4 linked regions of the Elephas maximus indicus genome follow. The protein of the gene in region 4 interacts with the protein of the main gene of each other region in a pairwise test. Links are inferred from orthologs where the notes say so. Each region holds a gene or a part of one and is shown on either strand. Other genes may lie near its edges. The genes, in order: GSE1, MYT1L, myomegalin and TNIK.

Region 1 (6,846 bases), on a different chromosome or scaffold from region 4:
TGGAGTCTACTCTGGCACGTGACGTTAATACCAACGAGCTTTGGCATGCTGTCCTCATCTTCCTCACCCATACCCAGCCTTTTTTGTGTCAAGACTCAAATCTGTGAAGCCCTTATTTCCTTAGGCGTGAAAATGGGAACATGGGAGAGGGGATATGGGACCTTCTTGGCCATGCTTGTCCTATCCAGCTGGCGCCTCAGAATTTAGGGCAAGGCTAATCTTAATAGCTCACATACCAGGGGGTTACAGAGACACAGCCTGGGTTCAAGTCCCAGCTCCACCAAGCTGGTTCCTGAGACAGGGATTTTCTGAATCACTGGGTCATTGAGAGAAGCAAAAACATCCACTTGAGCACTCCCCACCCCTGCTCTAGGCCCACTTTACACGTACATGCACACACACAGAGACATACACGTATGAATGCATGCACACACATGAATGCACACATACACATGTAAACGAACACAATGAATGCACATATACTCGTGCACACACACGTACATAATGGATACACATACATGCACACAATAACACACAAACACACACATGCACACAATGAATGCACGCATACATGCAGACATGAACACGCATGCATGCATACATACACATGCACACATGTACACAGATGCACTCGCATACACGTGGCACACATCCAGTAGTTCTCCTGAATCTCCAGCTTAGCCAAGAAAATCCCATTTCCCACTTTTTGTCCAGTTGACCCCTGTGGCCCTTCTCCCTCAGACTCTGCACAACCTCATCACAGTCGCACCCCCTGCCCCCTGGAGTGCAGACAGACAGCAGAAGAACCTCCTTTACCACTGGGTGAGACAAGAAGGGACATGCACTGTCACCAACAGCATGCCGGCTCCCCTGTGCCAGGGCATCACTCCCTCTACCTCATTTGATCTGCTCAAAAAATCATGAGAGGTCGGTGTGTGGGGCCCAGGCATTGAGCCAGGCACTGGACATACACAGTGAGCAGAACTGACTGGTCCCTGCCCTGGATGAGGGAGCACCCAGCCTCCCGGGGGAGCTGGATGGGGAACAAGCAGACAGAAAAAATAATTAAAGTCAATGGCAAATTCCTATGCCAAGGACTAGAGACAAAGGGTCACCGGGGAGGCCTCCCTTTAGGGGGAGTGGACAGGGAAGTCTCTTGGGATGACATTTCGGCCAAGACCTTAAAGATGAGCTGGAGCAGCTTGGCAAAGAGAGCCTGGGAAAGCATTTGGGCAGAGGGACAGCCCTGCCAAGCCCTGTGGGATCCAGGTGTAACTCCCCAGCCTACCTAGATCTCCTAAGCTCGGCATTGTTTTACCAGCAGCCCCTCTGCGTGTATATGTGGGGGGAGAGGGACGTTGGCCAGTCCCCCTTTAATGTGTGGGGATACAATTGAACAGACCTCACCCTTTAACATTTTCCTAATCAGCCCCCTCCTGTTGCCCTCCTGCCCTGCCCCTGACATTCCTCTGGGACAGTTTTGCTGACGCAGCGTTTTTCCACTATGAGGGCATTTCTGGCCAAGATGTTCACATTAACCTCTGGACTGTGACCCCTGGAGTATCCACGTGGGATTCCACAGAGGTGGCCCTTTTCTCTTGCTCTGTTTATTTATAATGCATGGCCTCCTTTGTGCCAAGAGGAAGCCCAGTTTTATTTACAAGTCAACGCCCCAGAGGCCGGAGGGGCCAATTGGCACCATTGTCACCAGGCCGACTTCTGGGCTCCAGCTGCCAGGTCGGACAGCTGTCAACTGCTTGGAAATCAGAGGCTCACAGAGTTTTGAAGCTGGAAGGGGCGTCATTTCACAGATGGGAGATGTGAGGACCAGAGAGGCCTGGGTTTGCCCAAGGCTGAGCCAGGACCGCAGGGAGAACGGAGGAGTCCTGGCCATGTTCCCTGATGGGGATGGCCTATCAGCACATGGATGACGGACCAGATATGTCAGGTGCCCATCAAGGCTGCACAGCCAGATCGTTGGGAGCAGGGGCCTGGAGCTGGACTGCCTGAGTTTGAATCCCAGCCCCACCACTTCCCACATTAACCCTCTATGCCTCATTTTTCCCATCTCAAAAATGGGGCTGACCACAGCACCCAACTCAGAGTTATTGGGAGAAGTAACTGAGCTAATATGTGTAGCGCTTAGAATGGGGCCTAGCACACAGTAGGGTCTCTCGCTACGTGTTCCTTAAATAAACTCACTGTATTTATACACATATTCAGTAAATGCACTGGAAACAGTTACCCTCTGCTGCAGTTCCTGTTTGTCCAGAAGGGGGGAAGACTCTCAGACAGGTTGAGTCCCTTGCCCCTAGACACATAGGACCTTTTCTGCCTCTGGTGGTGATCCAGTGGCCTCTGGTCAACACGGGGGGCGGGGGGACGGGGGGCCTGGCTGGGCCCCCAGACTGATGCTTCACTAACCGTGTTCCAGGACAGCTCCTCTTCTCTGTCTCCAAAATTAGAAAGCCGGGCCTGAAAAGTTCCCTCACCCCTAGGCTGCTCAGCTTCTAGTAACTGGCCCTCACTCAGCCCCCGCCCCCCTTTTGAGCGGGTAGGGGGGCCTCCGTCCGGGAGCTGCCCTTCATCTGCGGATGCACCTCGGTCTCCAGGGGCGTCCTTACCTGGTTCCTCTGGCGTTCTGCGTCCTCCTTGACCTTTACTTAAAGACCAGCCTTGGCCGCTGATGGGCTTCGGCGGGTCCCTGAGGAGGCCCTTCAGACGGCTTTAGCCGGGCGGGCTGGAGAGAGCCCCTAATTGGGGCAATGAATCATTGTGCGCGGCTCCGGGGCTGGACACAAAATAGATAGTGGAGCCGGCGAGCTATTGTGCGCAGTTTGGGACGCGGGAGGAGGGAAGGAGGGCGGAGGGAGGGGGAGGAGGAGGAGGAGGGAGCGCGCGAGGGAGGGATTCCCCGCCTGCCCTCCTCCTCCCTGCCCGCCCACCCGCCCGCCCGCCCGTCTCCCTCCTCCCCAATTAAATGACCCAACGCTTTGGCAGGCGCCGGAGCTCGCACATGCGGCTGCCGCTCCAGCCGCCCGGAGCCCGCCACCGCCGCCGCTGCGTTCCGGGCGCGCTCGCCGCGGCGCCGCCTCGGCCTGCGCCGCCGCCGGGTGCTCGGCAGGCCCGGGGGGCGCCCCCGCGAGCGGCCGCGCGCCCCGCCCGGCGTCTGCCGGCCGCCGCCAAACTTTGCGGCGCGCGCTCATGGTCCAAGTTGGGCGGCAAGGCGGCGGGGCCCGCGGCTGCCGGTGAGCGATGAGCGGGCGGGCGGCGCCGGTCTCCCGCAAACAGCGGCTTATGGCAGCGCTGGCCGAGCGGCCGGCGGGCGGCGGCGGCGCGCCGCTCTCCTGCTTCATCTGCGGCGGCGGCATCGGTCGCGGAAAGGAGCTGAAGCTGCAGGTGAAGCAGCCGGCGGCGGCGGCGGGTGCGGGGGCCCCGGCGCAGCCCTTCTTCCCGTTCCTGCAGCAGCAGGAGCCGGCGCCCGGCGCGCGCGAGCTCTCGCCGGCCGACGGTTGCGTGCTGGTGTGCGCGGTGTGCCGCTGCTTCCTGGGAGAGCAGTGGGCCGCCTTCGAGCGCGCCCGCACGCCAGTGGACAAGCGCATGTACTGGCTCAAGCGGCCGCACCAGTGCGAGGCGGGCGCGGGCGGGCGCCGCGGGGGCGCGGGGGCCCCGCGCGAGTGGAACGTCGCCTACGCGCTGGGCGCCGGCGCGGGCGACGACGACGACGAGGACGGCGGCCCCGGGCCCCGCGCGCCCGCCGACGAGGCGCGCGACTCCGAGCTGTCCGAGCTGTCGGACACCGATCCCCTCTCCGAGCCCGACCCGGGCGCGCACGACGCCGTCAGTCCGGCTCAGGACGGGGCGCCGCTGCCGCGGAGCACCCCGGGGCCAGGCCCTCGCGGGCCCCGCGGCCTGGAGTGGAGGCCGGCGCCGGGACTTCCTCTGGGACAGAGCGCAGAGCCCCCCGCTCAGGGGGACGTGGACGAGGAGGGGGCCCCTGCGAAGCTGCACGTGAGCGGGGAGCCCAGGACCGGCAGCGGGCGCCGGCGGAGGGGGACTGGGAGGCACTGGGCCCCTGAGGCCCGGGCCAGCGTCCTGAGGGGCATTCAGGGCACTTGGCAAGACCCACCAGTCCAAGCGCCTGCTGCAGATGGAATGAAAGGGCCCCCCTCTGGCAGGCCCACCAAGACTCCAGAGAGCAGGCTGCTGGGGGAGACCCACGGGGGCTACTGCACCTCTGAAGACAGTGACATCAACATCACCAGCGAGGAAGAGGACGACAAGGAGCAGCCCTTCCCTGCCCCCTGCGGCCCCAAAGAGAAGGACAACAGTGACCGGGTCCCCCGGGGGGCCCCGGAGAGCCGTGTGGTACCACCGGAGGGACCTTGCTGCTACATCTGTGGGTCAGCGCTGTCGGCGGCGTCGCAGCACCAGATCCACGTGCAAAAGCAGGAGAAGTTGGCACAGGCCCCGTTCTTCCCCTTCCTGTGGCTGCACAGCCCGCCCTCAGGCGCACGTCCCATCAGTCCTGGAGGCAGCACACTGGTGTGTGCCTGCTGCTTCACCTCTCTCATGCAGCAGTGGCAGAGCTTCGAGCTGGCGAGTGTCCCTGTCCTGCAGCGGCTGTACGTGGTGCCTCTGAACAGCCGTGCGCCGGGCATGGCCTCCAAGGGCAGAAGGCTGCCCAGGGAAGAGGGTGTGCCTGCCGCAGCCCTTCGGGAGGCCTGTTACCTCTGTGGCGAGGACTGCACCCAGGATGCCCGAGCTGTGCCTTCCAGGATCCTCAATGGCAGCACCAGGAGCACCATGCACTTCCCCTTCCTCAGCCTGCTGCCCTGCCCCCCCAATGCACGGGCCCCCAACAAGCTCTGTGAGGTCCATAGCTGCCCCAAGTGCTTCAGCGTTCTGGAGGATGTCTGGGCCTTGTACCGGGCCTGCCAGAATGAGGAGCTCATCACCTCCGTGCAGGCCTTCCTGGGCAGATACCACCAGGCCTTCTCTGCGTCTGACTCAGGAATCTCTGAGCCGCCCACCGCAGCCCAGGGCAGCCCAGCATCTGTCTGCTACATCTGCGGGGCTGAGCTGGGCCCTGGGAAGGAGTTTCAGCTCAATGTGAACCCCTCCAGCTGCCTGGGTGAGAAGGAGCCCTTCTTCCCCTTCCTCACTGTGTACCCGCCTGCCCCAAGAGCCAGGCCTGTGGACTCCACCGGCCTGGTGGCGACCTGTGTGCTCTGCTACCACGACCTGCTGGGTCAGTGGCTTCAGCATGAGGCCCGTGGTGCCCTCCATGCCATCAGTGCCTGGTCTCGGCAGTACCAGGTAGAGACCTTTGTGTGCTTCTTCTGCCAGCAGGAGAAGAAGCGCTGTCTAGGAATGAAGGCTGTGCGAGTGGCCCGACTACCCCTGTTCCTCTATACCTTGCGGGCGAGCCACAGCCTGCTGGTGGACGATGGGCGGCAGCTGATCATTGGTGCCTGTGTGGAGTGCGGGACTCTAGTGTGTGCGGGCCAAGGGCCCAACCGTCAGGGGCCTACCGGCTGGAGTTCCCCAGTGCCAGTGGTGACAAAGGTAAGCGGTGGTTCTCATCTCATCTTAAAGCCTTCCTTAGAAACCTGTGCAGGGAAGGAAGCGGTGTTTTCTGTTTCTCTGCAGTTTGTGCTGGTCCTGCGTGGTGTGTAATGGTGAGAGGTCACCAGGCTGCCTGCCCTTGGTTGGCTCCTTGGCCTGGCAGAGCTTGGAGACACAACGTAGGAGGTCAGAGAAGTTGAGGGACCAGGAGTGGTCTGTGGAAGAACGGGCACTGCTGAAAACAGCAGGCATGGGAAGGAGCTTGGGCGTTTTTGCAGCAGCGTGTTTGTGGCGGAATCTATCAAACAGAGGAAGTTCAGGGCATGTCTGTCATCTGCCTGATAACATTGGTAATTAGTCCAGCCATGCAGGTCACAGAGAGGTCTCGGCACTTACCATGTTTGGAGCATACCAGGGGTGGAAGTTCCTCTCCGCTCTAACTCTAGCTGCGCCTGAGCTTTCCACCACCTCCCCCCCCGCCCCGCCACCCAGTCCACGCTTTCCCTTTGAGACTCTCTGGTTGCTTAACAGCAGATGGAAATGTGTTTCCAGACATGGGGGTGTGGGACGCGGGAGACAGTGGCCCAAACAGACTTCTCCCTGGTGGGAAGAGTCTTTCTTCTCTGCCAGTCAGCTGTGCGGGGTGGGAGGGAGGTGGTAGCAGAGGCCTGGGTGCTCCCTGTTTATATGGCGCTTGCCTTCACTCGGCTGCTTGCCCTGGAGGAGCTCCATTAATTTTGGATTTGGGGGTCTGGGGAAGAGGATGGCTGTGAGTCGAAATCATGCGTGGCCTAGGGGGCCGTGAAGCCTAGTTTCCGCCCAAGAGGGTAGGCTGGCTTGTTTTACTCAAATACCTGCTGGTGCTGCTGTCATGAAACGCTGACCCAGCAGCCGGCGGAGGGGCATGTGGATGGGGCAGGCCATCCCATCCTATTCAGGAAGGTGGTTCGATCCTTTGATCCCTTCGAAAGGTTTCTGATCCCACCTTCCACGTGTGTGCACACATAAGCGGAGGACCCTGGTACATGTGTACTCACAGCGGCCCCCTGTGTAAGGTGGTGTCCCCACCACATATCTGTCCTGCTTCCTTGGTCTGCAGGGTCCCACACCTTCATGGATCGCCCAGGTCTCCTTCTCTAGCTGACACCTGGGTTGTGCTTTAAGGCTGTCTTTGGGGGCTCCGATGGGACAGCCTTTGATTTTAAACCGAGCCTATCGTCTCCCATCCTGGAGCCCGAACCTCTCATTGGTGGCGTGTGGCAAGCCAGCCCCGGGGTC
Region 2 (7,135 bases), on a different chromosome or scaffold from region 4:
AGCTTTTGCATGCATATGAGGTGGTTGAAAGTATCATGGCTTGGATTGGGCTCACCTTAGTCCTCAAAGTGACATCTTTGCTTTTTAACACTTTAAAGAGGTCTTTTGCAGCAGATTTGCCCAACGCAATACTTCATTTGATTTCTTAACTGCTACTTCCGTGGGTGTTGATTGTGGATCCAAGTAAAGTGAAATCCTTGACAACTTCAACCTTTTCTCCGTTTATCATGATATTGTTTATTGGTCCAGTTGTGAGGATTTTTGTTTTCTTTATGTTGAGGTATAATCCATACTGAAGGCTGTAGTCTTTAATTTTCATCAAAACTAGGCTGCTGGGGTTCAAGTCCAATTGTACTATTTGCAAACTATATGATCTTATCCTGGTTATTTAGCTTCCCCATGCCTCAGTTTTGTTGTCTTAAAATTGGTATTATAATTCACCTACCTAGTTTAAAGCTTAGATGAAACAATGTATGTCCTCTACTTTGCACATAGCTGCTATTTATAAGGTATCTTTGTAAATGTCATAAATACATCTTTCCCTTTGTTCAGAAATGAATCATAACAATTCAGATAATAAGATAATGAGACCAAATGGTATATCCAATGATATAGCTGATGTCTGCTTGGGCGAAGTCTACAAAATGGGGCAAGTAAATATCCTAGACTGCGCTGTATGCCTTACCAGAAAATTCTTGAAGTCAAGCCTTAAATTCTGATACAGCTCAAACTTAAATCTCCACTGTGTTAAGTTCCAAAGTTGAAATAAATATGGATTGACGTAGTGGCTGCAACAATGCGCTCATACATAGCAACAATTGTCAGGATGGCTTAGGACCAGGAAGTGTTTCCTTTTGTTGTGCATAGGGTAGCTATGAGTCAGAGCTGACTTGGTAGCACCCAACAACAACAATAACATTAAAATTTTAGTCACATTGTTGCTATTCTTTCCATGAAATGGTTAGCGCTTCCTCTCCTTTTAAGAAGTGGTGATATCCACACATAAATAACTACCATTTTACTTAAAATATGAAATAACTGTTAAGTAACGAAACTTTTATGTACATTTAAAGACCAAGTTTCCCAACTTCCACTGCCTAAAGCTTAATTATAGAGATCAGAATGGGGCTTAAAATTCATCTAGCCTATTTTATCATTTTACAAATGAAAAGTCACTCTGTGATTTTGAAATTCTGTCATTTTTTGTACCTGCAGTAATTAAGTTATTTAAGATTTTAGAAAGACCAAAAAAGGAAGATTGAGACTGACTTATTCTAGTTAATGGTTCTTAAAAAATAAGTCACTTACTTTTGTACATCTGCAAAGCTCTTAAATCCACTTTTTTTCCTGTGTTTTTCCCATTATTCTTTGTGTGTGTGTGTGTGTGCTTTAAGTAAAAGTTCACAATTCAAGTCAGCTTCTCATCTAAAAACTTACAAACACATTGTTATCTGACCCTAGTTACTCTCCCTACAATGTGACAGCACACTCCTCCTCTCCACCCTGTATTTTCCATGTCTATTTTTTTTTTATTCAACCAGCTCCTGTCCCCCTCTGCCTTCTCATCTCACCTCCAGACAGGAACTGCTCACTTAGTCTCATGTGTCTACTTGAGCTAAGAAGCACAACACTCCTCACCAGTATCATTTTATGTCTTATAGTCCAGTCTAATCTTTGTCTGAAGAGTTGGCTTCAGGAATGGTTTTAGTTGTGGGCTAGCAGAGAGTCCAGGAGTCATGACTTCTGGGGTCACTCCAGTCTCAGTCAGACAATTAGATCTGGTCTTTTTACTAGAATTTGAGGTCTTCACTCCATTTTTCTCCTGCTCCACCAAGGGTTCTCTGTTGTGTTCCCTGTTATGGCTATCATTGGTGGTAGCCAGGGACCATCTGGTTCTTCTGGTCTCAGGCTGATGGAGTCTCTGGTTTATGAGGCCATTTCTGTCTCTTGGGTTCATATTTTCCTTGTGTCTTTGGTGTTCTTCATTCTCCTTTGCTCCAGGTGGGTTGAGACCGATTGATTCATCTTAGATGGCCACTTGCTAGCTTTTAAGACCCCAGGTGCCACTTACCAAAGTGAAACCCACTATTTTTTAATAGAGACAGGATGTTAGTGGTATAAAAAATAGAGCTTAATAAAAGGTATAAAAGATATTGGATCTGACATCTAAAATAACTTATAGTCCAGTCAATTTTTCTCAATGTTCTTTAATCCAATACTCTGATAAACTTAAAAATCTTGTAGTCTTTTTTATATTTATCTGAAATATTTTAAACAATGTCACTAAAAATGAATCAAAGCAGTGGCATTCTAGATTTAAAAATGTAATACACACACACATATATGTATATACATACATACAAATCTGGAGATCAATATGTCTCTCTCATGTGATAACGTGAGCATTAAGTCTGTATATTTCCGTAGTTTTTTTTTCCCCCCAACCTAAGTGATGTGGACAATAGAACTTAGCACAGATTGCTTTTAACACCAAGTCTTTTCCTCTCAATTGTTCATTCTTTCCTGCCTCTCAAGATTATATGCACCGCTCCCCATCATTTTGCAGGTAATAATTCAAATGAGAGAGAAAATTAAGGCCTATGTGCATACTGACATAGTTCTCAGAAGCAAACACGTATAACGCTTACATTTGACTTAAGTTTGACTTAAGTGTCCATGGGCAGCCCTCTCCACAGATGACCTCTTTGCCCTGCCCAAGTACAGCAAACCATTTTGGGCCGCTTAAAACTGCGAGAACATTTATTCCTAACTCATAAGAGGCAAACATACTCTAACCCAACTAAAAACTAGATTTACTGCCATTTTCAGTTATCAAAGCAAGATCCCAAGGCCTGAAATTCCCATAAATATTTTCTCCTGGGCCCCTTTTTTTATTTATTTCATTTATTAGAAATCATCAGAAACTCGATACTAAGAGCCTTAAAGTGTTCACATACTTCATTTGACTCTGAATGATCTGAAATGTCCTCCACATTTTAGTAAGGGTGACATTGTTGTCCTGGAAGGGTCATTGTGTGCATCTGCAAATGCTTCTATGTGTCAATCACAGCATGTTCACAAAGATTAGATGTTTTCTTTAAAAGGATGAAGAAGACAGGACTGAAGTATTGGAGGGTCTGAAAAATTGGAGAGTAGCCTGATAAAATAAAACTGTAGCATCAGAAAGACCTGGTCTTGAGTCACAGCTAACTATTTTCTAGCTGTGTGTCTCAGAGTCACTTAACATTTGAGACACTATACAGTGAGGATCGTAATCCTTGCTTGTGAGGATTAAAGGAGATAATGAACCTACAGCATCTACTATCCAGCATATGGTCTTGCTTCTCTTAGTTAGAGATTCAGTAAGGGAGGCTATTGTTACTGGTGCTGTTATGTCGTTATGAAGACGATCACTGTTTTCACTATCATTGGGAACATCACACAAAATAGAAGTGTGACTTCTGGGCAGGATTGTGACAAACCCGAAAGGAGAGAGGGGAGAGTATTCCAAGTAGAGGTAAAGAATACATGTGAAGTTGAAAGTGTGGAGGAATTGTATGTTTCATTTTTCCTCCCACAGAACTGCTAAAATTGGAATGAATATGGTTGGTGGTTAGAAAAACTTGAATTAATGTTCCAAAGAAATTATTTTCCTTTTCTCGAGTCACTCCAGTCTTTCCATGTAAATTTAGGAAATAGGAAATGCCGGAAACTCACATCCTTCCTCGTTTCAACCTTCTTCATTTTTATTTTTTTGATCTTCTATTATTTCCATTGTAGAATCAGTCACCATATGGCTTCACACAAGTAACTAGATTTTGAGGTCCTCATTTGAACCAGCATGTACTGCCATATCTGAATCTAAGAGACATTCCCCTACATCTAGAACCTTGTGTTCACGATTGCATTTACCACCTGATGTTCTTGGCATTTGAGCTAGTCTCCAGCTCATCTCCCTTTGTGGATGGTCTTTGCAGAGAGGCCAGAGACTTAGAGACTGACTCAGGTTTCACACACTTGACCTTGCTCTTTGTTATTAAAGGGCCAACTCTTATGTAAAAGCACTTCAACTTTGAGGAGGTACATTATGCATGGGTTACTCCAGTACTGTCCCTCAGCTGAATTAAAGTGCATGTGGCGGTTTGTGCGGATAGCCTCCATTAACTTAATGAGAATCTCTCAAAACCCAGAAAAAACAGAGAAGCTATTAATTCTCCATTATGTCAGAAGGGAAGGTTAGGAGTTTCACTAACAATTCCTTATGTCTTCTCTTATGTGCAGGAAAGAACGCACAGAAGCTGTTGCCGAGGACAAGGTACGTGCTGTTATTTCCTGGATGTCTGTCCAATCAACTTTGACATTTGAAGAACTATAGAGGGTGGTATGTTAATAAAAATAGAATTTTGTGATTTTACGAGCAATGTAAAGAATGTTACCTGAAAACAAGCAGAACGTGGAATGCAGTAATGACTGATGTCAAGTTAGGTCTATTGAGAAAGAAGCCATTCGGTTTCAAAGTTGATAGAGGAGTTGAGTTTTTTCTACCAGCTATTATTGTTTTAAATATTTAGATGTTTCAATTTTATTTTATTGTTCAGTTGATTACATATACATATTTAAATTGATACATAATCCATTACAATTTTTCTTGTAAGAGTATTGTATATAATCTAAATATTTGAGAAATCAACCAGAGAACATAATCCAAAAAGCACACATATTTATCATTGTATATTTTTTTAAATTGTACTCATTTTTTTATTCCTAATATTTATACGATGCCTCACAGATTTCAGAGCACTGGTGGTGCAGTGGTCAACAGCTTGGCTGCTAACCAAAAGGTCAACAGCTCGAATCCACCAGCTGCTCCTTGGAAACCCTCTGGGGCGGTTCTACTCTGTCCTGTAGGGTTGCTATGAGTTAGAATCAACTCAATGACAACCGGTTTGTTTTTTAGGTTTTCATAGATTTCAGAATACTTCCACCCATAGTCTTTCATTTGACCTGCATAAATAACCCTGAAAAAAAAAAATGGTGGAAAGTACTAAACTACCTTCTGCATATAAGCAGACTGACGAAACTCACACATTCTGGTATTCTCTTTGCCTGTCATAATGAAACATTTGACAGACTCAGACTGTAAAGGACAAAAAGTTACATTTTTAGATCTGTTATAAATTTGTAAAATTACTTCTCTGTTGATACATGCATGGAGAGGCAAATTATTAATAATAACATTTAGCATGTAGTTAAGTGCTTACTTTGTGTCAGGCAACATTTTCTCCATGTTCTATTCATCATCCCTTTCAATCTTTACCCTGCCCACTTGCCGTCAAATCAATTCTGACTCATAATGACCCCATAGGACAGAGTAGAACTGCCCCATAGTGTTTACTAGGCTGTAATTTTTACCGAAGCGCATTGCCAGGCCTTTCTCCCACGGAGCTGCTTGTTGGTTCAAACTGCTGATCTTCAGTTAGCAGACCAATGCTTAAACACTGCACCACCAAGGCTCCTTTTCAATCTTCACAGTACCCCTATGAAGGAGATATCACTCCCTCCCTTTTGACATGAAGAAATCAAGGCTGAAGGAGGTTGGATAAGTGGCCCAAGATCACTAGATTTCAAAGAATTTACCAAGGACTAGAGTTGGAATCAACTAGACAGCAACAGGTTTTTTTGTTTGTTTGCTTAGAGCCAGTTTTGACACAGCAGTTTCCTTTAGGGTGCAGAGGTGAAGAGCTCGGCCGCTAACCAAAAGGTCAGCAGTTCGAATCCACCAGGTACTCCTTGGAAACCCTATGGAGCAGTTCTACTCAGTCCCATAGGGTTGCTATGAGTCGGAATCGACTCAAAGGCAATGGGTTTTTTTGTAGTGAAACAAAACTACGAATTTTCAAGCCTGTTGAAGAGTAGCATGGCCGCAACTAGAGCAGGGGCCTGATGGTCCAGGGACCTTTGTTCCTGCCCTTCCCACACCTGCTCTGTGACCCTCACACAGATACTGACTTTTCCGAGCCTGTTTTCTAAGTGTTTGGAATCGAGAACCTCTATTCTTATTAATAAAACAAATTAATTTCCATCAGGATTGTGAGAAATGAACCAATCTTTTGGACCTGATGTTCTCCATGTACTATACAATTAATTTGTAGTTCTTCAGAACTTACACATTTTCAAGGCATTATCCCTTTACTCTCCCTTACATTTGGTGGCAATATGGTCAGTAACTTATCCTCCAAGTGTTGTATTTTCTACTTATATCTAACTACCAGAGAGAGAAATTTTTTTAACTTTTGTTTTCTTTACATAATTAGCATATACACATTGTAGAAAATATAGAATATTAAAAATATATGCATATATGTATGTGTATACATATATGCACACCTACACACATACATATTTAGCAAAAAATAAGTAACTGTACTGAAAATTCCAAAATTCAAGTGCAGACAGTTAATGTATTAGTTTAAAATTCTTCATGACTGGTTTCTTTACATAAATACTTTTAAATTAAGATGGAGCATACTGTGTATTTTGGTTTTGACCCCTTTTTTTAAATTTATGTATCATGCATTTATTTCTAGGTCAATAAGTATACTTATTTTCATGCTGTATAGCATTCCACTTTATAGATATACAAATGTGTATTTAACTAATGCTTTACTGTAGTTTTATAAGTTTTTAAAATTTTTGCTTTATGAACAGTTTTAATGACCATTCTTTCAAAATGACCTTCTTAAAAGTTTTAATGATTTAAATTTTTATACTCTTAATTTTTTCCTTAAGATGAATTTCTAGTAAAAAAAAAATGGGGTTGGGGGGATGTTCAGTTTAGGGCTTTTGAGAAGGTTAATACTTTTAAAGTGTTCTACATTCTTATGTCTTTCATCTCACTGCACGACCTCTGCTTTCTAAACAGAGTTAGTCTTCCAGTGTTGGAATGCACTACCATTCCTTAATGAACTCTTATTAATTTGACTTAAAGAAAAGCTGATTTTATACCATGAATTTAGTTTTTAAAAAGCTAAAAATTTACTTCGATACATGTTCTGGAATTTCTAAAAACTCTGTTCAAACTGCTACACATTTATTCTCTTGTTTATATATTAATTCAACATATTAAGTACCTACT
Region 3 (7,960 bases), on a different chromosome or scaffold from region 4:
TTACTTGCGTGTGATATTAATGATATTGTTTGATAATATCTACATTCTGTTGAATCATCTTTCTTTGGAGTGGGCACAAATATGGATCTCTTTCTGTTGGTTGGCCAGGTAAGTGTCTCCCAAATTTCTTGGCATAGATGAGAAAACACTTCCAGTATTGCATCTGTTTGTTAAAACATCTTGATAGGTATTCTGTCAGTTCCTGGAGCCTTGTTTTTCACCGGTGCCTTCAGTGCAGCTTGAGCTTCTTCCTTCAGTACCACTGGTTCTTGATCATATGCTATCTCTTGAAATGATTGGATGTCGGCCAATTCTTTTGATATAGTGACTGCATTCCTTCCCTCTTCTTTTGATGCTTTCTGCATCATTCAATGTTTTTGCCCATGGAATCCTTCAATATTGCAACTTGAGGCTTGAATTCTTTCAGCTTGAAAAATGCTGAGAGTGTTCTTTCCTTTTGGTTTTCTAACTTCAGTTCTTTGCACATTTCATTATAATACTATGCTTTGTCTTCTTCAGCTGCTTTTGAAATCTTCTGTTCAGCGCTTTTGCGTCATCATTTCTTCCATTATCTTTAGCTACTGACAACCAAGAGCAACTTTCAGAGTCTCTTCTGACATCCATTTTAGCCTTTTCTTTGTTTCCTATCTTTTTAATGACCTCTTGCTTTCTTCATGTATGATGTCCTTGATGTCATTCCACAACTCATCTGATCTTCAGTTGTTCGTGTTTAATGTGTCAAATCTATTCTTGAGATGGTCTCTAAATTCAGGTGGGATACATTTAAGGTTATATTTTGACTCTTCTAGACCTGTTTTAGTTTTCTTCGGCTTCAGCTTGAACTTGCATATGAGCAATTGATGGCCTGTTCTGCAGTCAACCCCTGGTCTTGTTCTGACTGATGATACTGAGCTTCTCAATCATCTCTTTCCACAGATATAGTTGATTTGATTCCTGTGTATTCTATCTGGTGAAGTCCACGTGTATAGCTGCCATTTATATTGTTGAGAAAAGGTATTTCCAATGAACAGGTCATTGGTCTTGTAAAATTCTATCATGAGATCTCCCATGTTGTTTCTATCATCATGGCCATATTTTTTAACTCCTTGTCCTTCTTTCCAACTTTTGCTTTCCTATCAGCAGTAATTATCAATGCATCTCAATCGCATGTTTGATCAATTTCAGACTGCAGAAGTTGGTAAAAGTCTTCAATTTCTTTATCTTTGACGTTGGTGGTTGGTGCACTAATTTGAATAATAGTCATATTAACTGGTCTTCTTTGTAGGCATTGGATACTATCCTATCACTGACAGCATTGTACTTCAGGATGGATCTTGAAATGTTCTTTTTGACAACGAATGCAATACTGTTCCTCTTTAATTTGTCATTCCTGACATAGTAGACCATATGGTTGTCTGATTCAAAATGGCTGATTCCAGTCCATTTCAGCTCTCTAATGCCTCGTATATCTATCTTCAAGTGTTTCATTACATTTTTGACAACTTACAACTTTTCTGGATTCATACATTCCACATTCTGATTAGTAATGGATGTTTGCAGCTGTTTCTTCTCATAGCACATCAGCAAATAAAGGTCCTGAAAGGTTGACTCTACTTTGAGGAGGCAGCTCTTCCCCAGTCATATTTTGAGTGCTTTCCAAACTGAGGGGCTCATCTTTTGGCACTATACAAACTGTGGGACTCATCTTCCAGTACTGTTAGACAGTGGTCCACTGATGTTCATAAAGTTTTCACTGGCCAAGTTTTTAAGAAGTAGACTGTCAAGTCCTTCTTCCTAGTGTTTCTTAGTCTGGAAGCTCTGCAGAAACCTGTCCACCATGAGTGACCCTGCTGGTGTTTTCAATACCAGTGGCATAACTTCCAACATCACAGCAACATGGAAGTGACCACTGAATGACAAACTGACAGACAACTGGTGGGTCAATGTCTTACTGGGCAGTAAAGCTATAACCTTTGATGTTATGCTTTTTTTTTTTTTATGCAGACAGAAATGACTTGCATCTTTCCTGAATAAAAATGATTTGCAATTTACTAATCTTCTACAAATATCTAAATTCAATGAGTCTGGATTCTATTCAATAGCAAATAGTAAGTCAGGTGAAACTATGGCCCCAAATAGGCAGATGAACAGGATTATTAGCACTCTAGTATGATCTTGAATGGACGCTTAATGATCCTTTTGACTTATCTTAAAACTTTAGATACTTTTTCTTGAGTATGAGGATTATCACACTCTCAGAGATTCTGATTCAGTACTTCTGTGGTGGGATGCAGGAATCTCCATTTTAAACAAACATCCTAGGTGATTCTGACACGAATAGCCTATGGATCCTTCTTTAAGAGAGATTGAAGGTGGTAGCCAGGACTTTATTTAGGATTAGTGGTTTTCTTCTAGTTCAGAGACTTTTTTAATGCCAAGAAATTGAAAGATTGATGCGTTAACTTACTGAGAAAAAGCTAACAGTCTCCATTTACTTCATTAGGGTGCTGTGCGGCCCTTTTGAAGCTTGTATCCCATATTTAGTGTAAGTCTAAGCTTGAAGGAAAAATGGCCAAAAATCCAACTGTGAAAGTACAAGTTCAGTACTTAGTTCATTTATTAATAAGTATCAGTGCTTAATCATGCCTGCCATGAAGCAAGTGTTCAATAAATGTTACTAATCACACTAAACAAAACACCCTTCATCATCAATTCATTAAGGCCACCAATAAAGCCATAACCTCACAGAATTTATTGAGCCTTTATTTTATTCCAGGCGTGCTATCAGGTAAATTTTTTTAATGTTTATTTACTTTTTAAACATTTATCAACACTTATTGTGTGCCAAGTGCTTTGTAAGATGTTGGTTATACTGAGTGAAAAAAGACCTAATCTTTGTCTTTAAGAAGTTAATAGTCTAGTGGAAAAGATAAATAAGTGAATCTACAACAATGGTGTGTTAAATGGCAGAGATGTGCTTTGGGTGCTGCTATAGAGGCATAGAGATGGAGCACCTACATAAGGTTAAGGGATCAGGAAAGGCTTTCCTAAGAAGGTAACACATAAATTGCTTTTTAAAGGGTAAGTAGGAGTTAAATAGGTCTCTGGGTGGCACAGAAGGTTTGTGCTTGACTATTAACCTGAAGACTGGTCATTTGAACCCACCCATCATCTGTGGAAGAAAGGCCAGGTGATTTGCTTCAATAAGGATTACAGCCAAGAAAACCCTATGTAGCTGTTCTACTCTGTAAAACACATGGGATCACCATGAAATTTAATTGACTAAACAGATCTGCGTATTAGCTCAGATAGTAGAGTGCTCGCTTAGCATGCAAGAGTTGGCGGGATTGATACCTGCATTGTCTAGTTAGAAGCCCTGGTGGCATAGTGGTTAAGAGCTACAGCTGCTAACCAAAAAAAAAAAGGTCAGCAGTTCGAATCCACCGGGTGCTCCTTGGAAACCCTATGGAGCAGTTTTACTCTGTCCTTTAGGGTTACTATGAGTCAGAATCCACTCAATGGCAATGATTTTTTTTTTTTTTTAACACCAATGGGTTGTTTTCTTTTTCTTTTTTTGGGTTTTAGGAGTTAACTAGATAAAGAAGGTGGAGACAGGTATTCCAAGCAGAGTAAACAGGAAATGTAAGGCAAGGAGGTATGGAAGAGCCTGATTTAGACCCAGAGAATTAGATGTAGTTTACTGTGGTTAGAATGAAGGTAGTGGAGGTACAGGATGGAAGAAAGAGATCAGTGGAAGAGGAGGCCAGAAAAGATGGCAGAAGCCATTCAAGACAATCCTTGAATACTAAACTAAGTGGTAGAACTTTATCACAAAATCTCCAAGGAGCCATTGAATGGTTTTAAGTAGGTGAGTGTTTCATGAAGAGGCCTCTGGAAGCAGTGGGAAGAAGGGTTTGGAGGTGGGCCTTAAGAGAGGCAGTTGGAATCACGATGGGAGCGAACACTTAAAGATACAGATATAGTAAAGAAATAGAAATAACAACTGGATGTGGTGGATGAGTGAAAAAGATAAAAGTCTCTGATCACTACCAGGTTTGAGGTTTGGGCAGCTGGATGGATGGGAGTGCTGGGGTTAAAAAACAGAGGACGGAGTGACAGGTTAGAGTGGAAGGATGGGTTCAGCTTGGCTGTCACTGAGTCATTCAACAGTAATGGCTATTGCCTGTGAACCTTGGGATGCGTGGTATCCAGCTGCCCTGTGGATTCTATGTAGGCCCTGTGCTACACAGAATAATGTAGTAGAGTCATTCTGTTTTGCTGTACTCTCGCTGGTCTCTGTTCCTAGAGGACATATGGAATAGGAGAAAAGGGTTTAGCAGAGGATTTATTTGACCTATGACCCCTTTCTTTTTTTCCCAGATGATAACAGTCCGTTGACTTGATGGTGGATACCAAGACATATTCTTTACTATGATTTCTTCATGAAAAATGGCATCACAAAGTCTCAGCTGAAAGGAAAACTGGGGTTGTTTAGCAGAGAGTTATTGACAATTACTAAAGGGAAAATGAAAGGAAATGGAGACTTAAAAAGAGGGAGAAAGGGAAGAAAGAAGGGGAAAGAGGCTAGCCAACAACCTGGAGAAGTGATGAATTTGAGGAGAGATTAACAGAGAGAAAAAAGCGGATAAAAGATAAGAGGATAACAGATTTGGGCAAGGAGGAAGACAAAAGCCAGGAAAATATGTAGAGAGGGGGTGAGAAAAGAAGGAACTCATCTGAGGTTGGAAATTGAGGAAGGTGGCATTGGAGCATATAGAAAAAAAAAGAGTGGGGTCTGGGAATGAAGGGATCTCCCGGTTGAGGTGGTGGGTGGAGAGAGAATGGGGAGGTAACAGAGGGTGAAGGGGCAGCGGCGGGTGTTTGCGGGAGCCGGACCAAAGCAATCTGGGCGGAGCAGGTGGCAGAAGCAGCGGTGAAAGGGCAGGATCCGGCCAGGTCTCCGCCTCAACAGTGGCAACTGGAGGGGCTGCTCATCCCCGGCCAGAGGGATGCGCCCTGGCAGCCCAGGAAAGCCATAAGAAAACGAAGCAGGAACGGAAAACAGGATTGGAGAGGCCAGGAGAGAAAAATTCATGAAGAGGGCCGACAGCGGGTCCAGCTGCCGCCGCCGATGTGACTGCAACGGTAGCTGCTGCAGCGTATCCCGCCGGGCGCAACACGCGCCTTACTGGGCCGGGGACGCCGGGCGAGCTCCCCCGTCCCGGCGGCATTTCCCTGGCCCAGAACGGCGGCGCTCCGAGCTGTCCTGGAGCTGGGCGTTGGCGGCCGAGGAGGAAGAAGCAGCCGCGGCGGCCGCACCCTGGATGAGGTGAGGGCTCCGCCAGCTTCTGGCGCTTGGAGACCAGGAGGATGCGAATCGCACCGGGCTGTTGGTACGCCATGCTGTGGGTAGGCTGAGGCTGCGGGCCGTGGACCCGGGTTCCTGGAAAGGGTTGTTGCAGAGTGACAGCTGCCTGGCGAAGGTTGGAGGGCAGGAGAGGTGATGGGGCCTGTGATGGGCACCAGAGGGGGAGAGGTGATGCGGTGTTGCCTAGAAATAAAGCGTGGGGCTGGACTGTTGGGCCTAAAGCTCAGGAAGCCTGGTCTCTATACCAAGGGCTTCCCTTGATATGTAGACAAGGCTTTGTAGCTGGAGGTGAGGTTGAAGGCTGTGCCTGTTGGGTCGAGCCAAAGGAGAGGAGAGATGAACATGATTCAGGAGGACATTCCAGGATGGAAGCCTTAAAAAGAGCCTTAGGGGCGGGAAAAGAAGATAAAGGATCAGGAAATGTCATGGGTACACAACTGAAAGAGTCCTCAGTGCCTTCTCTTGCACCGCCTTCTGTTTTGGATATTCATCTTAGATACAGACAGCTGGGTGGGGGTTGGTGATGGCTTTTTCTTCCTTGACCACCTCCTTTAGCCTGCAGGGCTGGAGCCCTGCCTGTTGGCTGGATCCCAGGTCCTGCAGGACAAGCTCCATTCTAAACCGGGTCACTTCCTCTGCTCTTAGAAGAGGGAACAGATTAGGGACAAATTTTCTTCATGTAGCAGCAGGATGAAAATCTGTCTGACATACAATTTTCTAGAGAAGAGAGTGTGCCTTTTTCTCAATAAGCATTTCCCTGGCGTAGCATTTTTAGCTTTCTCTTTCATGGGAAGTCAGTACAGTACTCATATAAACTACAAGGCAACAGTGGTTTCTGTCTCCAAGCTGCAATTAACTCGCTGGGATTTTAGAAAAGTTATTTAATTTCTCTAGGCCTCAGTTTCCTATGCATAAAATTGGGATTTGGGTTAAAAGAGTATCACAGAACTAAATAGTCTCTGGTTCTGTATTCTGTTTTCAGGACACTTTTATTTGTGAATGATGAAACTCTATTCACAGACACAAAGAAGTTGAAGGAATCCCTTGTCCTTAGCCCCTGTGCCAAAGGCAGGCTGCGGTGCAGGGAGCGGGTCACTGGGGAAAAGGAGGGAGGGGAGTGAAGGTGGGGATGGGGGGAAGTTGGGGATAAGGGGAAGGATGGAGTTCACAGGTGGCTTATGCAGACCTGGATGTGGCCTGTGTGTTGCAGTTTAGAAATTCACTCCATGGGGTTTTCAATGGCTGTAATCTTAAAAAAATAGATGACCAGGCCTTTCTTCAGTGGTACGGCTGGATGGATTCAAACCACCAACCTTTCAGTTATTAGTTGAGCACAAACTGTTTGCACCGCCCAGGGACCGTACACACTGACAATATGAACCAGTTGGTTAATGGCATCTGGACGTGGTGCTGAAAGGCCGAGGAGCAGGGAGGGCTTCACATAGGACATGAATCTTGGCTGGCCTGACAAGATATGAAGCCGGGGTTGGGTGGGAAGCAAATCCTAGCAGAGGAGCACTAGCAGGTGTATGGCCCTGGGAAAATGCCTTATTGGATGAGGCCTGTTCTGTGATAGACCTTTTCCAATGCTGACCCTCTTTCAAGTATACAATTATTAAAAATGAGGAATTAAGTGAGCTGTCAGATGGTGACAATCTGTCTCAATGTACTTATTTGAAGCATTGTAGATTCCAGAACACTTAATTGTGCTCATGAGGAACCTATACATAGACCAAGAGACAGTCATTTGAACAGAACAAGAGGATACTGTGAGGTTTAAAACCAGGAAAGGTGTGCCTCAGGGCTGTATCCTTTCACCATATCTATTCAGCAGACAGATGCTGAGCAAATAATCTGAGAAGCTGGACTGTATGAAGAAGAACTTGGCATCAGGATTGGAGGAAGACTTATTAACAACCTGTGATATACAGATGATACAACCTTGCTTGCTGAAAGGGCAGAGGACTTGAAGCACTTACTGATGAAGATCAAAGACCACAGCCTTCAGTGTGGATTATACCACAATGTAAAGAAACAATCCTTACAACTGGATCAATAAGCAACATCATAATAAGCAGAGAAGAGATTGAAGTTGTCAAGAATTTCATTTTACTTGGATCCACAGTTAATGCCCATGGAAGCAGCAGTCAAGAAATCAAACAATGTATTGCACTGGGCAAATCTGCTGCAAAAGATCCCTTTAAAGTGTTAAAAATCAAAGATAGCACTTTGAGGACTAAGGTACACCTGACCCAAGCCATAGTATTTTCAGTCACCTCATATGCATGTGGAAGCTGGACAATGAATAAGGAAGATGAAAAAAGAAACGATGTGTTTGAATTATGGTGTTGGCAAAGAATACTGAATATACCTTGGACTGCCAGAGAACACACAAATCTGTCTTGGAAGAAGTACAGCCAGAGTGCTCCTTAGAAGTGAGAATGGCAAGACTTCATCTCATGTGCTGTGGACATGTTATCAGGAGGGACCAGTCCCTGGAGAATGACATCATGCTTGGTAAAGTAGAAGGTCAGTGAAAAAGAGGAATACCCTCAATGAGATGGATTGACACAGTGGCTGCAACAATGGGCT
Region 4 (6,982 bases):
TCTAGAACCTTGATGAATTTTAAAGATTTTTTTCTTCTTTAAAGAATATCTAGGGATTTGTGGTGATAGAAGATACAGGGGGTTTGCTTTTGGAAACTCCACAGTAGTGTTTCTGATTTCCAAAATGTGGTACATAGATTCAATATTGAATAACATTTACCCTAATAAGGAGAACATAATCCCCTTTGAGCTCCTCTTTCTTGTTTATAATTTTAAAAATATAAAAATATTTCAAATAAACAGAACAATACAGAGAACACTATAATGAATACCCATTACTAATAATCCAGATTTAACAATTCCAAACATTTTGCCATGTTTGCTTGGTCTTTCTTTTTTTATAAATAAACTAAATGTCATTGTTGAAGTCTTCTCTTTCTTCCATTCCTTTCTCCCTTCTCACTATCTTTTAGTTGACCTGTATCCTTCCTGTCTGTGTCCATGCTTTTTATAGTTTACTACATATTTATATAGACATAAACATATTGGTCTTCAGACTTTAAAACCATACATAATGGTATCAACTATCTCAGTCTTTAAGATTAAACTAAGGAGGAAAATCTCACTTTGGTTCAAGTCTTGAATGCCTTTTCTGGCATTTGCTAATCTCTCTCTTAACAAAGTAAAGGCAGACCCTCAGGCTAAAAGCCTGGGGCAGGCAATGACTAAAAAAAAAACCAGCTAGCTAGAATTTAATAATAATACTGCTTTATTTTCCATTATTTTTATTTTAATGGTATTCTTTTTTGTTTTTTGCAAGCTTTCCATTTACAGTAGCAATTTACGCTTCCTTTTAGATTAAATGTAAGAAAAAAGAAATGTATCAATTAAAAAAAAATGTTAATAACAACAGTAAGGCAGCACACAGACCTGGCAAAAAATTATGAAAGTAGCACTGGAATGGTTGAAATTTGTTACACACTTGACCTACAGGGTAAAGTTCGAGCTCTTCCAGGGAGCATACAAAGCAGTACCTGATCTGACCGCTGCTGGCCTCTCCAGCCTTAAGTCACCATTCTTCCTTCACCTCCAGCAGTACAAACAGCTCGGAATTTCCCCCTCCTCTTCATCATCGATGGCACTAGTTTTTTTTTTTTTTTTTTCTTCATCAGTGACGCAATGGTTAAGTGCTTGGCTGCTAACTGAAAGGTGGGCAGTTCAAAACCACTAGTCGCTCTGCAGGAAGAAGATGTGGCAGTCTGCTTCCGTAAAGATTACAGCCTTGTGAACCCTATGGGGCAGTTCAGGTCTGTCCTATAGGGTCGCTATGAATTGGAATCAACTCGACAGCAACTGGTTTCAATGTCCTGTAAGTCAAGAAACCATAACTTACGGAGTTTATCTTTAGGAACCCTGGTGGCACAGTGGTTAAGCGCTCAGCTGTGAACCAAAAAGTCGAAAGGTGGAACCCACAAGCTGCTTGGCAGAAGAAAGATGTGGCAGTTTGCTTCCTTAACGATTTCAGCCTTGGAAATCTTATGCAGCAGTTCTACTCTGTCCTATATGGAGAGTTCTACCCTGTCCAAATGGACTTGACTGCAATGGGTGTGTGTGTGTTTTTATCTTCTCTTACCAGCTGGAGGTGTCTTTGCTATCGTAATCCTCCCTTTCATGGTATTTCCTGTAGCCCAGCACCACTGCTTCCACTTGGCTCTCGCGCCCATCCCCTCAGGCTTCCAGGAAGCAATCCTCTTCTGTAACTACTCATCACTAAATTTCCAAATCTAACTACAAATCCAAGGGTAGAATTTAGTGCCAGGGACAGGGCACCCTACAGCCTGAACAGCTTACTAAAGCCAAAAGATCTGTTTGTGATGTCTCAAATAAAATCTGGACTATAAAATCAAGACTCTCCATGAAAACAAATGTTTAACCCATTTTTTTTTGTTGTTTGGAGCTTTAAAAATTGTTATTTATAGATCTGACCTTTAATTATTTTCTTTCAACACTAATACATTAACCTGTCATCTAGAAGAAGGTTAAAAAAAAAATAGAAGGGAAAAATAAGAACAATGATGGGAAATGATAGTTCTTTAGCTCATTTCAACATTACTTGGTGGCTTACTGCCAGCTACTACAAAAAGCTGGATGATTTCATTATAAAATGAGAGGTAAAAATCAAGTGTTTGAATATAATGCGTTTAAACATTTGATATACGTGTAACGTTTACAGGCAAAAACTCCCAAGCAGTTGTGGCCATAGAGATGTTGGAGAAATTTTCAAGTTCCATGGTGCATGATTTATAACTCATATGAATACAGTAATACCAACAAAAACCGTACGGTGCACACCGAATGCGGTTTAAAAGCCCTCTGTCTGCAGTTGTGATGTACTAACTGCACTGGCTTCCATCCATTCATTGGAAAGCCTTATTCTGAAGCTGATATTCACACTACATATAAAAAACAAAAACAAGAAAACAAAACAAACCCTCAGAGTCCTTGGCCAGAAGTAAATTATTCTCCTAGCAGAGGTCCTGAGAATACTTTCAAAGCTACTGCTGTATTTGAAAAAAAGTTCAGTTTTAGCGTTTTCTTCGGATACGTCTAATTTTGTATGGCCAAGGCCGGAGAGGAAGGATTGCAATGGGGACCTGGGGAAGTGACTTCACACTCTTGATTACAGAATGTCATGTTTACTACTGTAAATATTGAGCCTCTAAAGGAGAAAGCGGGTGAAGTGAAATCGCTCCCACGCTTCCATCTTGTATGGCACATTTTATCCGCTAGCCAACTTTCTCCATCAATCCCGGTAGGTCAGCCGCAGAAACGCTGCCTGAAACGGCAATGTGAAATCCTGAGGCAGCGTGTGCTGCCTAAACCAGAGTTGGCTTTGGACAGTTACCTGAAGCATTCAAGATGTTGCACCCAGAGAAAAAGCTCGTTTCAATTCGGTCGTTTCCGTGGGGAATTGCGGCAGGGGCCGGTCCTGGGTGTGGCGATGCCAAAAGGGAGCTCCGATCTTCCAGTTTTCCCGCTTCTGGCAAACCTTTGCAACCCGAAGCGGCCAGTGACCCGCACCCGGGAACGGCCATCTGCGGTCCCAGTGGCCGCAGGCAGACCCGACCCCACGGCCCCTGTGAACTGCCGAAGCCAGGCGCTGGGCAAGCTAGGCGTGCGCGCTTCTCCCCCACTCGCTCGGCGGCTGGGGGCGGATCCCCTTCCAAGCACACAAGTCCTTATATGCACCGGTTGCACCAGTCCGCGTTACTCCAGCCCCACAAATAACTAATGGGGGAGGGAGGACGTCGCTCTTTTTTTCTCTGGCTTTTTCAATGTCAGATCATTTGAGTCCCTCCAAGAAACCCCACGATGCGATTGAACGGGCCATTTGCTGCAGCGCACGCATTGGACACACACAAATAAAGCCTCCTTGTTTGTACGATAGGCATGTCCGCGTCCCGGAACGGCACTCGGGTCCAGCCGGTTTGGCCCGCAATAGCCGGGGCGGAAAGGGTGCGCGCCCCTCCCCCATGCACGCTGGTGCAGAGGGACCCGGTCAGGAAGCGCGGCCTCTCCTCCGCCGGAGACCACGCCTCCTCCACCTCTTTTTTTTTCTCTCTCCCCCTTTACTCCTCCCAGGAAGCGGTGATAGACAGTTCTGTGTGGCTCTCCACCCCCACTCCCCCAGCTGAGTGGAGGAGTTGATGTGTCTCATTATAACAGCCAATGCAGCCGCCATCCACGCACAAGCAAAGAAGCATGTCCCATTTAAATACACCCACGCAGCCCCAGCGCCCTTAGCCGATCAGGGCGCGCAGCCCACACGCACCGCGGCTGGGGATTGGAGATCCGCGCAGGTCGAGCTCCCGGACCCGGCGGACGGCCGCGCCGAGGGTCGGGATTCGGCGCTGTGGGGCCGGGGTGGGCGGAGGAGGCTGGGCCCGGGCCTCTGGCGCTGCACCCGCATGAAGACGCGAGTGAGATAGACCAAGGTGGAATCTCCAGGGCAGAAGCTTCGGAGGGGTTTTGGTCCATTTCCCGGCGAACAAGTAGACATGGCGAGCGACTCTCCGGCTCGCAGCCTGGATGAAATCGATCTCTCGGCTCTGAGGGTGAGCAGAACACCTTTTCTGATTTCTTCCCGGTGGGTTAGGTCAGGGTGAACGGGCTCGGCGCGTGGACCGGGGCTCGCGCTGTGGGCAGAGGCGAGAGAATGCGACGGGAGGGAACGTGGATTCTCGTTTCTCTTCGGGGTTTGCTCAGGTGCTCTTGCTGAGCCCCCAGGGCAGGGTCTGTGCGGTACGTGTCCCCCTCTGGCTGTGACCGAGGCTCCCCCGAGAGCGCGTGGAGCTTACGCCAGTTTATCGTAGACGGGTGTAAGAGCCTTAAAATGAAAGACTCGTCGGTGTGTGTGTGGACACCCCGGGCGGTCGCCTCGTGCCAAGGCGCGACACCCGGCTGCCCCTTTCTGCAAAAAAAAAAAAAAGCAGCGTGAATAAAGGCACTGGCCTCACGTTTTCCAGTTACCTGCAAGATGACATTGTGAGCCTGACTGTACCCACGAAGCCGAACCTGCCGCTCCACGGGGGCAGTTACTGCTGTGCTTGCCTTGTGGATGGCAACGGCCCTCAGCCTCCCCTTTCCTGCCTCCCGCGCCCCGGCCCTCTCTGGGCGCACCCTTAAACGCCCGTCTGCCACTCACCTTTATTTGTGGTTTTAACTCAGCCCAGCCTGTGGTTTCTGACTTTGGGGCTGTGACATTTCAGCTTTATGGCTAAACTTAAGCAGGTGAAAGGGATGTGTTTTCCGCTTTTTTCCAGTCACACCGGAACTCCCGGAGTGTGTGTGTGTTTTCCTTCTGTCTGTGGCCAGTTCTTTGTAGAGCACCTCCCTCCCCCCAGCCCCACTGGTTTGAATTTACCTTCACGTGAGTTGCCTCCGACGCAGTTTCATTGTATTGACTAAGACATCACTGGTATAGAATCCATTTTACTGTTGTTTTGTGAGCAGAATATCAGGAATCCCAGTGCAGCCTCGACGCCTCTCTACCCCCAACCCCCAATCCTGACACACTCAAGGGAAGGGGGCAGAGCTTTCTTGCCATTTTAATTAGATGCTGCCTGCAGGGAAGAGGGTGAGGGATGGGGGTGGCGGCAGCAGCGGGGTCTGGGGGAAAAGATTGGGCACCAATTTAAGGACGACTTCTTCTCTTGAACCCTTCCCCCTTGAAAAATAACAGTGACTAGATATATTTGATACATGGTGGATGGGTGAGGCTAAATTGATGGTGGCTCTCAACACCGAGACACGCAAGATTGAAGTTCACACGCCCTACTGAGGAACACATTGTTAGATCGAAGCTAAATCTTGGGACCATTTACCTGAGTCTTTTTAGTACTTCTGACATTGCCTCTTTTCTCCAGGGTATTTTAAGAGCGACTACTGTTATCAAAGCTGTACTTTTTCCTTAGCCTCCCTCCTTTTTCCCTCCTTTTTGTTCCAACTCGGCTCCCCCCTCCCCCCCTCCACTTTAGTTCAAGAGATGAGGTTTCAGGAAGGCAGTCCGGGGGTTGTGAAGGAACAGGGGGGCCGTTTGAAACTGCCTGTACTGATAGTTGGGTAGCAAAAGCTCATTCGTGCGTTATTACAGTAAGTGATTTCCCTGGGGCTGAAATGCCATGTTCAGAACCCGCTGCCTCCGGGCAGCTGGGGGTGGGGGTAGTTAGTAATAGGGTGGGTGCTTTGACCAAGTCCTTGTCCTCCTGTTTGATGGACTGTGTGTGTTCTTTTGTCCTACTTGCTGTACTAGGAGTAGCTGCCGGTGGGTTAAGCAGGTAGATGTATGGGCCAGACCTCAAGGTGGGGGAAATTGTAAAAGGAGAGGGGTTCAGACAATGGGCAAGGCTTGTGGTGATTTCCCTAAGCCAGAATCGAGACATCTACATCACTCCTCTAATGAAATACTGTGTTGTGATTTTTAAGTTAGGCTTTGACCTGTCACCAGTGGGCTTTTTCTGGGGAAGGTTTTCTGAGATAGAGAGCAGAGAGCCTGCAGGCTTGTGAGAACCACGAGGGCTCGCTGGGCTGGCCTGGAGACACTTCACATTAGGATACCAGGGCTTGTGAGATCTGTATTTCGAAAAGATACCGTTCTACGGCTCACTGCAATTGCTCTTTGTGGCCTGGGCTGCCGGCTTAGTGGTCTGCCTGTTTTTCTGCCTGCCCCGAGGTGTGGGCAGGGAGGGCAACAGCTGGCCCTAGAGACTGGAGCACTGCTGGCTGGAGGACTTGCATGTAGGTGTGGAAACAGTTGCATTCTGGAGGGCTGGGGTCAGGGACTGTTTTGTGGTAGGTGGGGTGTGCCAGCCGAGAGTGGGTTCAAAGGCCACATAGGTAATCTCCACAAATCAGAGAGCAGATCATATCTGCCTTCCCAAATTAGGAGAGGTGGGCTCATCTAGTTGAGAAGTCTCATTCGTTCCCAAACCCTCAGAAGAGCTTTGGTGCTGAGAACCTCCTGAGGAATGCCTGACCCCTGAAATGCAGCCAAGGTCAGTGGCTTCTAGGAGAATTAGCTGCAGTCTTTGGGTCCCATGCTGTTTCAGTGACTCTTCAATGTACACAGTCAAGGCCCTTTTTATAAGCCCTGGGCTCAGTGCATTAAAACCAGATCCTGTCTGGAGAGGCCTTTAGTCCCTTCTCATTTTGGGGGCTTATTGTTCTCAGCCAGTGATCCTAGACTGGACCCAGTCTAAATTTTCCCCAAATAGTAACAATGCATAATTTACACCAGAGCAACCGATGACAGCACTGATCATTTAAATTATGCAAGATTTGGATGGTTTTTAAAAGTGAGATGAAAGCAGAATCTTCTTTGGTTAGAAAATAGAAAATTCAAATCCGGTTTATTTAGTTCCGATTTCTAGAGCTCACAAAGGTAAGCCTTAAGTCTGGGAGGGTGGGGGGATGGTTTCATAGATTTAGAGCTAGAAGGGAATTGTGGAGAGTTCAGCCACTGTTTTCATTTAGCACATAGGAA

The links.
Region 1: the proteins of TNIK (region 4) and GSE1 interact in a two-hybrid assay, tested with the Homo sapiens proteins (2 studies listed by BioGRID and IntAct). The link is inferred for Elephas maximus indicus from reciprocal best matches to the Homo sapiens genes TNIK and GSE1.
Region 2: the proteins of TNIK (region 4) and MYT1L interact in a two-hybrid assay, tested with the Homo sapiens proteins (2 studies listed by IntAct). The link is inferred for Elephas maximus indicus from reciprocal best matches to the Homo sapiens genes TNIK and MYT1L.
Region 3: the proteins of TNIK (region 4) and myomegalin interact in a two-hybrid assay, tested with the Homo sapiens proteins (2 studies listed by BioGRID and IntAct). The link is inferred for Elephas maximus indicus from reciprocal best matches to the Homo sapiens genes TNIK and PDE4DIP.

The regions. Positions count from the first base shown.
Region 1 is NC_064839.1:51,006,267-51,013,112, forward strand, and holds the start of GSE1 (genetic suppressor element 1), read left to right. Parts: upstream 1-3,834; 5' UTR 3,835-4,155; coding exon 4,156-5,568; intron 5,569-6,846.
Region 2 is NC_064830.1:10,882,793-10,889,927, reverse strand, and holds the start of MYT1L (myelin transcription factor 1-like protein), read left to right. Parts: upstream 1-4,125; 5' UTR 4,126-4,315; intron 4,316-7,135. UniProt on the Homo sapiens protein: Transcription factor that plays a key role in neuronal differentiation by specifically repressing expression of non-neuronal genes during neuron differentiation.
Region 3 is NC_064821.1:159,487,953-159,495,912, forward strand, and holds the start of myomegalin, read left to right. Parts: upstream 1-4,944; 5' UTR 4,945-5,093; coding exon 5,094-5,329; intron 5,330-7,960. UniProt on the Homo sapiens protein: Functions as an anchor sequestering components of the cAMP-dependent pathway to Golgi and/or centrosomes.
Region 4 is NC_064841.1:29,026,697-29,033,678, forward strand, and holds the start of TNIK (TRAF2 and NCK-interacting protein kinase), read left to right. Parts: upstream 1-3,972; 5' UTR 3,973-3,998; coding exon 3,999-4,055; intron 4,056-6,982. UniProt on the Homo sapiens protein: Serine/threonine kinase that acts as an essential activator of the Wnt signaling pathway. Recruited to promoters of Wnt target genes and required to activate their expression. May act by phosphorylating TCF4/TCF7L2.